3 linked regions of the Danio rerio genome follow. The protein of the gene in region 1 interacts with the protein of each later gene in a biochemical or structural test. Links are inferred from orthologs where the notes say so. Each region holds a gene or a part of one and is shown in the gene's direction. Other genes may lie near its edges. The genes, in order: msh4, msh5 and mlh3.

The links.
Region 2: the proteins of msh4 (region 1) and msh5 form a complex in vitro, tested with the Homo sapiens proteins (2 studies listed by BioGRID). The link is inferred for Danio rerio from reciprocal best matches to the Homo sapiens genes MSH4 and MSH5.
Region 3: the proteins of msh4 (region 1) and mlh3 form a complex in vitro, tested with the Homo sapiens proteins (2 studies listed by BioGRID). The link is inferred for Danio rerio from reciprocal best matches to the Homo sapiens genes MSH4 and MLH3.

Annotation. Positions count from the first base shown.
Region 1 is NC_133192.1:48,891,778-48,895,437, forward strand, and holds part of msh4 (mutS protein homolog 4), read left to right. Parts: coding exon 1-63; intron 64-1,487; coding exon 1,488-1,552; intron 1,553-2,318; coding exon 2,319-2,488; intron 2,489-3,415; coding exon 3,416-3,552; intron 3,553-3,660. UniProt on the Homo sapiens protein: Involved in meiotic recombination. Required for reciprocal recombination and proper segregation of homologous chromosomes at meiosis.
Region 2 is NC_133190.1:42,658,781-42,662,440, reverse strand, and holds part of msh5 (mutS protein homolog 5), read left to right. Parts: coding exon 1-63; intron 64-1,421; coding exon 1,422-1,502; intron 1,503-1,897; coding exon 1,898-1,985; intron 1,986-2,392; coding exon 2,393-2,579; intron 2,580-2,676; coding exon 2,677-2,803; intron 2,804-3,660.
Region 3 is NC_133198.1:27,533,952-27,537,611, forward strand, and holds part of mlh3 (DNA mismatch repair protein Mlh3), read left to right. Parts: coding exon 1-44; intron 45-125; coding exon 126-202; intron 203-843; coding exon 844-948; intron 949-2,323; coding exon 2,324-2,408; intron 2,409-2,481; coding exon 2,482-2,550; intron 2,551-2,935; coding exon 2,936-3,044; intron 3,045-3,178; coding exon 3,179-3,338; intron 3,339-3,416; coding exon 3,417-3,440; intron 3,441-3,565; coding exon 3,566-3,644; intron 3,645-3,660. UniProt on the Homo sapiens protein: Probably involved in the repair of mismatches in DNA.

The DNA of each region.
Region 1 (3,660 bases):
GAAGCAAAAATAACACAAGTTATTCAGCTGAAGCACATCGTGGAACTGGTCCCATCGCTCAAGGTGTCTTTTGTCTATACATTTTTGATCAATTTTATCAAACAACAGTTACACATAAATCCATGACCTGACTAATGACTCATTTGTTTTTACTATATTTTCAACTGCCAATAATGTAAATTCAACATTAAAGGTCCCGTGAAGTGCTTTGAAATGTGCATTTTTATTCAGTGTTTGACGTAATCTCAACTGAAACACGAATGGCCCTATCATACACCCTGTGCTATTGTTGTTTTCCACCACATTGTTTAAATAGCAAATCCATTGCTATACAAAGCAGGGTTAAAGTCCAGCGCAGAGCGTGTTAGTTGTGCTCATTAGACGCATACGTATTGCTTAAAACAATACGCAAATATCTTCACAATTGAAAAAGAATTAAAAGATTAAAATATTACAAAAATGGTCACTTTCTACATAAATATAAAAACCACTACCTCCTCTCGGGGGCATTTTTCAGTTAATTCACGACAACTTGCTTTTAGTATAATGTTATTATTATTACTAGTAATATTATTTATTATATGCATATTTATATTTGTTTTATTAAAAACAAACTTAGATTTGTCCACCTGTTAGGTTTTGGACCATATGGGGCGTAGGACGTGTGTTTGGATATAACTAGTTTTTTGACCACACTTCATTGTTATTGCTTGTTTATTCATTTGCTGGAAATCAGAATGCGCTTTTTTCCACTTACAAAGTCCGCCATGTAGATAGCAAATGCACCATGGTGCAACGCAACTGACTCTTGAAGGGAATAGGAGAGGAGACTCTGATTGGTTTATTCTCAAAATACACCCATATCTCATTAAGAGAATAAGCACAACCCGGTTAGACCATGATCTGCAGTGCAGAGCGTATTTTTCCGTCCTTAAATTAGCAAAAGAGGATTCAGAAACGCCCTTAATGGTTTTGAGCCCTGCGCTTTAGACTTTGCGCATAGATCGTAAAAGTTGTAAGATTGTAAAGCGTCTTGAAGGGGCGGGGCATGTCAGAGCATTTGATTGGTCAAGATTTGATGAGAAACTGAGGTGACGTGAAAAAAAACATTTATCCATTTAGGCGGATGTGACAAATGACAAGCTTTACAAGTTTATAGCAGTTATATCTTTTAAACATGAATTTTGTCATTGTTTTGGAGCACACTAGCTAATAGATATCCTAAACACTAACAATACTAATTTTAACATCTAAAAAATTTTAAGAAATGAAATTAATTTTAATTTCATGGGACTTTTAACTGACCTGATTTACTATTGTTTTTGTTATTTTGGAAAATCATGATTTTAAAAATAGCATAAGCTTTGTAACAATATCAGTGTTACAGTTATTTACTGATTGTATTTTCTGACTTGCTCGAGAAAGCCTAAAAAAAGGCACAGCTGCAAGGATACCACATAACAGTAATTACATTTCTCCTTGATTAGGTGATGCTGCAACATTCTACAACGCACTTGCTGACAGCGTACTGTAAATCACTTGAAGACTGCAGGTAATCATATTCATGCTGTCAGCTCTGTGAAGTATATACAGTATTTGCAAATCTGCACACATCCGCACTGACCATGTTAGTTTAATATGAAGCATCAGCTTGCTCTGTAAGCAGAGATAATAAGAATGTTTTGTACATAGAAATAAAACAGTGGACATAGGATTGTGCATATAGAAATAAAACAGCTCATACTTTCATATACAGTTAAAGTCAAAATTATGAGAATATTCTGTGAGTATTTCTTTTTCAAATATTTCCCAAATGATGTTTAACAGATTAGGGAATTTTTCACAGTATTTCCTATAATATTTTTTCTTCTAGAGAAAGTCTTATTTGTTTTATTTTAACTGGAACTAAGCAGTTTTAAATTTCTTAAAACCATTTTAAGGTAAAATTATTAGCCCCTTTAAGCTAAATCTTTTTTTAATTTCTACAGAACAAACCATCATTATACAATGACTTGCCTAATTAACTTTAACTTGCCTAATTAACCTAGCTAAGCCTTTAAATGTCACTTTAAGCTAAATACCAGTGTCTTGAAAGATATAGTAAAATATTATTTACTGTCATCATGGCAAATGTAAAAGAATCCAGTTATTAGAAATTAGTTATTAAACGTATTATGTTTAGAAATTTGTTCTTTCTGTTCAGCAGAAATTGGGGGAAAAATATATAGGGGGGCTAAAGATTCAGGGGGCTAAGAATTCAACTGTACAGTATGTATACAGTCCACCATGTTTATTGTTTCTTATTCGTGTTGATTTAGGTTTAACAGCATTCTGGATCATATCAAATCTCTGATTAATGATGACACCAGCTACATGAAAGGCAGTTTGACCATGCGCACGCAGAAGTGCTACGCTGTGCGACCCAACGTCAGTGAATTTCTGGACATTGCACGAAGAGCTTACACCGAGGTGGTAGATGACATTGCAGGTGAGCCCTCTAAAGTACACTTATGTGTACAGTTACATAATATGTAGGTGATGTCTATACATGTGTACATGTTCAATTGTGTGTATTAGGTGAATGGATGTGCAGGTTATTGTTGAAGGGATAGTTCACCAAAAAATGAAATCTCTACCAAAAACCAGTTTCAGTTTCACTCTTCTGTTGAAGATGTTATTTTGAACATTGACTTCCATATTAATTGTTTTTCTACAATGGAACTCAGTGGGTACCATCAACCAGCATTTTTAAAATAACCTCTTTTTTGTTCAAGTAAATGGTGAGATACTTTTTTATTTTTGGGTAAACTATCCTTTTAAATGGCAATTCATCAGCTTTAACTACTCCAGATTGCACAATTTTCCAAGGTAGGAGGAAGTATTACTGATATCTCTGCCTGGTCTACAAACATTTCATAATAACATAAAGGAGAAGTGATACAAGAAACTACGCAAGTTCACGCTTAAGACATGCAAGATTTCATTTACTCATTAAAAGGGAAAAATTGAAGAAAGAAGAACTTTTATTAAAGTAAAACTTGCTGACTCTGACTCCTCCCCCTGATCTTCCTACTTCATCATGTGTTGTAGGTTGCAAATATAATTTCCAGCCAAAACACATTGAGTCACAGTCAGAACCATATAATCAGCATTTTCATCTCTCAAAAAGGGTTGTTTAAATTACACTATTGTCACTAATAATCTGAATGACCACCAGCTTATCATGAATCGGTCTGCTATTTACACATAACTATTAGTAAGGAAAAATCTGATTCAAAACTACTTTCATGATGACCTGGTTTGCCAAATGCCACAATAAGTTTTGCGGTTTATATAGTAAAACTTTTCATATTCCAGCCTGTTGACAACATGTTATTTATGAACTTCAGCATTATTGTTGTGTTGTGCTGATCAGGATTAGTGGCTCAGCTTGGAGAGAAGCACAACCTTCCGCTCCGGACAAGTTTCAGCAATGCACGTGGCTTTTTTATTCAGATGAAGCTGGAGGGGGGAGCCTTGCCTGGTGGGAAATTACCAGACGAGTTCATCAAAGTGAGCCAAAGTCTTTACAATCCTTAATAAGTGTTCAATATATTATATATACTGTACAGTTTTTTTCAATTGCTTCGGTGTATTTCTGACAACAATATTTACATTTGC
Region 2 (3,660 bases), on another chromosome or scaffold:
CGTGCTGAGCTGGAAAACCTGGATCCTCGTTTCTCCACCTGCAGTGTCATCTACATGCCTCTGGTCAGGACATAATTAAGGCTGTTTTCCATTCATTACAGTGTGATGTTTAACCTAATTGTTGACACTGAAGCTGTTAGCATAAAGGTTGAGGGGTTTAATTCCATGTTGAATTGACCCAATAAATGAAGAGTCACCGAGGTTGCCATTGCGCCCCTGAGCAGGCCATTTGACCCTCATCTTGCCCCAGGACGGATGTTCCTGTAATTAGTATACTGCAGTGTTACTAAATGACAAGCAGCTGCAACGGCTGCACTAATGACTGTGACATCTGGGTTAGCAAAAGCAGCAAGCAGTGCAGTTTGATTCAATAGCAAAATAAGGTTGTAACTGAAGTAAAACAAATTGGTGCCACCAAACAAATATACTAAAATTATGATTGTTCCCAAACAGGTTTCCCATAAACTTTTATAGTCATTCTTGTTTCTTGGTTCATGCAAACAGCAAGTCCAAATTCATGCTACAGGTGTGATATCTCTAGACATTTTGGGCTGATTAAACAAATTGCAAATTTAAAAGACTGAAAAAGTTTTGCAATATAGAAACATAGACATCAATATTGAATGAATATGTCATGAATATTTACTGAAAGTCATGGAATTTTAGTAGGAAATGTGCATGTACCATGTACAAAGTATGGCAACGATATAACCATCGTTTATTCATACTTTCTTATGTAGTTGCTGGGTTTATTTCTAGAAAAACTTTAGAGCATTAGAATCCATTGCTACTTCACCAACGTCACTTTAGAGCTAGTATTTAAATGATTCTGTAGCGTAAAGTCTAAAGAGTGGCCAACACAAAATATATACATTCCTGATATGTGAGTCTTATCTCACACTCAATACACTACAATTACTCTGGTACTATAAATACAGCACTGTAACATAAAAGAGAGAGAAATCAACTTAGAATGTAATTATTATGTGGTCTTTGTCGCCATCTTGTGGATGGACAAAAAAGCATCTTTGCTCTGCTCAATGACAGGCTGATGAATGCTGACGCACTGTATCTCAGAAATTATAAATATTTAAAATAGGCATTATCCTTATAAATAAACTACATAGTTGCAATCTAAACAGCTACATTCTCGCCTCAAAGGTAAATTATGTTTTCCAACAGCAGCAACATTTGTCAAACTGTAGTTAGTTTATTGATCAGTCGTCATTCTATGTGGGCAGAGTAATACAGAAGGGTGAGGAGGCTGTACGAGTTCTGATATTGCATATTGCAGAATATAGCACGGCTATCAGCCAATCAGATTTGAGAACCAGAAAGAACTGTTATATGTTTATGTGTGTATATATATATATATATACACATGATAACATTTTTGTATTTTGTACCGCTTTGGATGACAGATTGGATTTTTACTGACTGTGCCAAGATTGCCCAGTATGCTGGATAAACAGAGCTTTGAGATTGCTGGTCTTGATTTCATTGTGAGTATGCCAGAATCTTTGTTACAAGGCAACACAGTATTCAGTTGCTCAGTTTTTGGTTTTGGTTTAAACTGGTAACCCAAAGTGTGTATACATTTTATACAGCATTTCATTTAGCTTAAATGACATATGTTCATACTCCAATCAGGCTACATTTTGCTTTTAATTTCACTCTTATGTGTGTCTTGCTAATTTTGGCCCTTGCATGCAATCTAATTACTGTTTAAGATTAAAGATACAGTTTCCTTTCAAAAGAACTGGGCTTAATTGGTCTTATCACAGAAATCTAATATGCACATGCTGAGTAAATACTCCAGGCCTTTTTATATTTGACTTATTAAAGCTTGAGGGTTTGGTTGAAGAACATTTTTGAGTTTGTTTGTGGATTATTTCAGTTTCTGTCAAAGGACCAACTGCATTATCGCAGCACTCGGACCAAAGAGCTGGACAGCATGCTGGGAGACCTGCATTGTGACATCCTAGGTCTTTCTTTCTTGCATGCATTCTTGTTTGCTTGTACACTCCTAACAATTTCTTGTTGAATCTAAAGTAACCTACTGGCAGCAGTTTGCCAGTAACTTACTGTAAATCAATTACAACAAAAATATTGTATTTACATTTATAACACAATTTATCTTGCTGTATATGCATTTTCAGTATTGTATTTATTTATTATAAAATATACAGTAATTTCCACAATGCAATTTCAAAATACAGTAACATACTGCATAACTGTCCTACAGTAAAATGCAGTTCGTATTACAGTTAAATACTGTGTAATTTGCAAAAAATTGTATGCAAAAGTATGGATCATGAATACATTTACTGCACAAAATCCTTTACTGTGTTTTTTAAAATGGTATAATGGTAAAATGGTGTTTGTGTTCCAGATTTGGAGATGGCGGTAATGAGAAAACTTCAGGCCTCAGTGCTTCAGCGGAGTGACTGTATGTATAAGGTCATGTCTCTGTGTGCAGAGCTGGACTGTCTCATTGCTCTCGCTCAGGCCTCTCGGGAACACGGCTACTGCTGTCCAATACTGACAACAGAGCACAGACTGGCCCTGATCGAGTCTCGGTACAATTCTCATCGAATTACTGTACAGGAATATTACTTTTTTCTTCTTCTTCTGTTTATAAAAAAATCTCTATCTTGTCCATTGTTTCACTTTCAGACATCCTTTGCTGGAGTTGTGCACTTCAGTATTTGTGTCAAACACCTACATCAGCTCTGAAACGGAAGGCAAAGTGAAAGTTATTACGGGGCCAAATTCCTCGGGAAAGAGCATCTTTCTGAAACAGGCAAACACAACTAGAAACATTAGAGACATTCATTTAACACTGTGCATTAAACATAGTTAGATACTATAGACATACATATAGATATTTTTTCAGAATATTCAAAGCAAAGACTGTTTATACCAAGACATTTTGCTCGTAGTACTTTGAATGGGGGAAAGTGCAACACACCATATGGCCAATAGTTCCTGCCATATAAATAAAAGGGCAATTCAGTCAACTGTTTAATCCATTGTGTCATTGAACCTTTGATTGCAAAAGGGCATCTGTAGAGTTATGGGCCTACACTGAAAAAAATATTTTCTTACTTTGAGGTTTTGTGTTGCTTGTAGTCCAAATATCTTAAAATAATTTAACCAAAAAGGAAAATGTACTTGTTTTAATTTAATTTAATTTAATTTAATTTAATTTAATTTAATTTAATTTAATTTAATTTAATTTAATTTTATTTAATTTTATTTAATTTTATTTTATTTTATTTTATTTTATTTTATTTTATTTTATTTTATTTGCTTAATCTATTGGCTGATTATTTTGGTTGTTTTATGTCCTAAAACAAGACAAATGTTTTTTTTTTAAACAAATCTTGAAAATGTTTCTTTTTAGAGATATTTGTACTAGAAACGAGACAAATCTCTTACTAAGAATATGTGTTTGAATATGTTTTTGCAGTGTAATATTTTTGTAATAGGGTTAATTCAAAGCAGATTTCTTTTAAATAGCTGAGCTAAAGCATGTTATAAAGGGATAGTTCACCCAAACTGAAACTTTACTCATGATCTACTCACCAAACCTTTAGTTTCAAACCTTTAGAGTTTATTTATTGTGCTGAACACTAAAGAAGATATTTTGATGAATGT
Region 3 (3,660 bases), on another chromosome or scaffold:
GCCCAGAGCAGAAAGAGCCTTTAACTCAGGGACAGACAGCAGAGGTACAGCTCTAGACTGACATAAGGCCTGAAATCAGCTTTTCGGTGCACTTTAACTAATTGTTTTTTTTGTTACTCTTTAAGAGGATGCCCAAGCTCCCGATTCACTGTCGACTTTATTCTCAGAATGGCACAACCCTGTGTTTATACGACCACCAGAGGTAAAAAGTACTGAGTAAAATAGTGTGTGTATTAGGGTTGTCATGATACCATCAATTCAGACCAAGACACTATACCAGCTAAAGTATGACAATATCAAGTAGTACTGTAGTATCGATACTGCAGTAATTCATTACTCAAATCAGTTAGAAATACTATATTTTACAGTATATGTCATAACGCTTAAATTCAATTCAGAATTCCCTTATTATTGAAAATGTATTATTTGTACACACTTTCTCTGTTTATTTTTGTATACACTGTCACTCTTTTGTTGATATTACAATAATAATAATAATTAAATATATAAATCATTGATCACGCCGTATGATCTGTCATGACAGCACCAAACTACGACTCGTATGCAGACAGTTCAAGTAAAAGTAAAATAAAGTGGTCTATTAATTATTTTTGGCACAAATGTAATTACCAAAGTATTGTTTACATACTTCAGCGGCACCGCCAGTATTTTGGAGCCATAGTATCGCGGTGCTACCAAAGTACCAGTAAACCGTACAACCCTAGTGTGTTTATAAATAGTTTCACTATTATTTATTTACTAACAAGACCTTTTGGTAAAGTGTTACCTTACAAATTATTCTAAGCAACCTTACTCATGTGTTCTGTTGTTTATTTTGATAAGGTTGCTGTTGATGTAACCAGCGGCCAAGCAGAGGGTCTTGCTGTAAAAATCCACAATATTCTTTTCCCCTACCGTTTTACCAAGAATATGATCCACACAATGAGAGTAAGTATTGCCTATTGAAAGATTACACATTTCTTTAAATATATAAACTATGTTTTCACATTTTAAGATGCATTTTGACAGTATAATTGATCCTAAGTAAAGCATACAGCATTATGTCTCCATAGTGATGCATATTGTCAGTTCCAGGCCCAGCTGTGTCTTTTGTCTAACAAATGGCTGGGTGATACTTTCAGGCAAGGCCCTGAAAGCAAGATTTCTTTACTAAACCTGTAATGGCAGTTTCTTTTTTTACTAATAAGCACTGCCCACTAAATTGTGTATTTAACTGCGCGTAAGCTGCAGTAGTTAAGAGTTTTTTTTTCGATTAACGCCAAAGGATTCTGCTTTGAAGAGACCCGAAAATCACAACACTATCTTCTCTTTTTAGAACTTGTGAATCTGACACTTACTGACCATAGCCAGGTATTCATCCTAATGTGGTAAAATTATTCAAACAATTGGTCGAATCAAATAATGTTTTCATTTAAAGCCTGACTCTTCTGTAGTTGCGTCGTGTATTAAGTCTGACTATTCAACTCTACGGTTTAACTTTAGGGGAGCTGTACACTAAGCATTTAGTTTTTAAAAAAAAATGTGAAGTATGCCTTTAAGTCGTTAGAGTGGCTGACTGTAGTATTGGTAACCTAGTAACCAACTGTAAACAAGGCATGCATGTTTAAAGACTATAGAATACACAAGACATGGCACTCGTATCTTTTTAAATGCGGAAAAGTGTAACGATCAATATTGCAAATAAAGCCCGCCCTTCTAGTACAGGAATCAATCATTGATCGCTATAGACTGATGATACTCCGGGGGAGGGGCTTAGACCAGACGCGAGTTTCTGCAGATTTTGTGTGATTTGAACGCTTAGAAGTGAAACTAAAGACACAGGTGTTGTTTAATTTCATTGGTGATTCCTATTATGAAATTCAACCGTAAGCTTGGCAAATAGCTTTTGGAGAAATAAATGTTTCCCTATTCAGACAGACTGCCCGAGCATGCTGCCTGAGAGGTGTTTCAAAGATGGCAGCTTAGTGAAATGACTTGCCTTAAAGGGACTTTAGCATAATGGAGACAGGTGATTGGTCATGTGAGTGTGATGTCTGCTATGCTAGAGATTATTCAGCAAATTAATTTCCATTTCGCATTATTCACATACTTTTTTTTGCACCACCTCTAATGAGCAGAAAAGCTTTTGTGAATTTACTGAGTTTAAAATTATTTATTTATTGTATTTTGAAAGGATCCATCACTTGTTTCTTCTGTAATTCTTTAAAATGGACATTAAATCAGGATGATTTAACCCAGCTACTGTCACAAATAGGACTTTCCTTTAAAATGAATGTAAAATTGCTTTCTGTTTTACCCTTAGGTCATCAATCAAGTAGACAAGAAGTTTCTTGCTTGTTTGATAAATACAGCAGGGCAGAACACCTCTGAAAGCAGTACGGATGAAGGTATTGTGGGCTGAAAATCACAATGTTAAATGATTATATAAATCTAAACTTTTGTCATTGCTTCTCCTGGCAGGGAATCTTCTAGTGCTGGTTGATCAACATGCTGCCCATGAAAGAGTTCGACTAGAGGGTTTAATAGCAGGTAAATGATAGTGATAGAAGTAGATAAAAAGTACTACATAAAAAGACATTTTATATATTAGATAATAGTTAATAGCACCAAATAATCATATTAAATTGTTTTCAGAAGGAGTTGAAACTTTTGCTTAACAGTCCTCGAATCAAATGACATTAAATGTATTAAATACAGTTATTTAAAAAAATACTGTTTTACTGTAGATGCTTTTATTAGCATAAGAGATTTTTTCAAAAACATTAATAACCTTTAGACCCCAAACTTAGCTTATAAGAATATAAAAACAAAATGAAGTTCATATAAAAGCATTAAAAAGTCTAATACACATCAGGTGAGATACATCAAAGTATTCAATATATTTTTACAAACACTGCTTGTTTTTTTTTAATAGACTCTTACGAGGATGACCCAGACACACCTGGAAAAAAGAGGCTGTGTTCCTCACGTGTAACCCCACCTTTGGAGATTAATGTAACCGAGGAGGAATTGAGACTTTTGAGGTCAGTGCAGCTGTTTGAGTCAGCATTCCTGAATCCACCGTCGTCTCCTTTTTGAAATGTACATGTGTGCTCAATTAGTTCTGCACCCTCGCCCAAACAAAATGGTGTCATAAATCTTTCTTTTGTTCTTCAAGGTCTTGTCAGGGTTTCTTGAGAGGTCTTGCGTTAGATGTGAGGTTTCCGAAAAGTGAGTCACTGAGTGTGTTTTTGGAGAGTCTGCCCGCATGTTTCATAGAGAAAGAAAGCACAGAGCTCCGCCGTGGAAGGCGCTCGGTAATTAAAACCATTGCAGAGGTCAGGCTCAGTTCTTATTAGTTTTTTAACTGATTTAAGTTCAGTTTAGAGTCATATACTGTGTGTTTTATCCCGCAGGACTATCTGCGAGAACACATTGAGGTGAGCTGCCATGTAGAGATGTGATTTTTATATCTTTCTTTGAACAAAATACTATAAATTGTATGGTTTTGGAGCTTGAAGTATATATTTATGACCAATTTTGTTCTTTTGACTTGTGTTTGCAGCTTCTTCGCTCAACAGGAAGAGTGAGAGGAATTCTGCCTCTGACAGTACATAATGTGCTTGCCTCTCAGGCTTGTCATGGTTGGTTGGTGACATC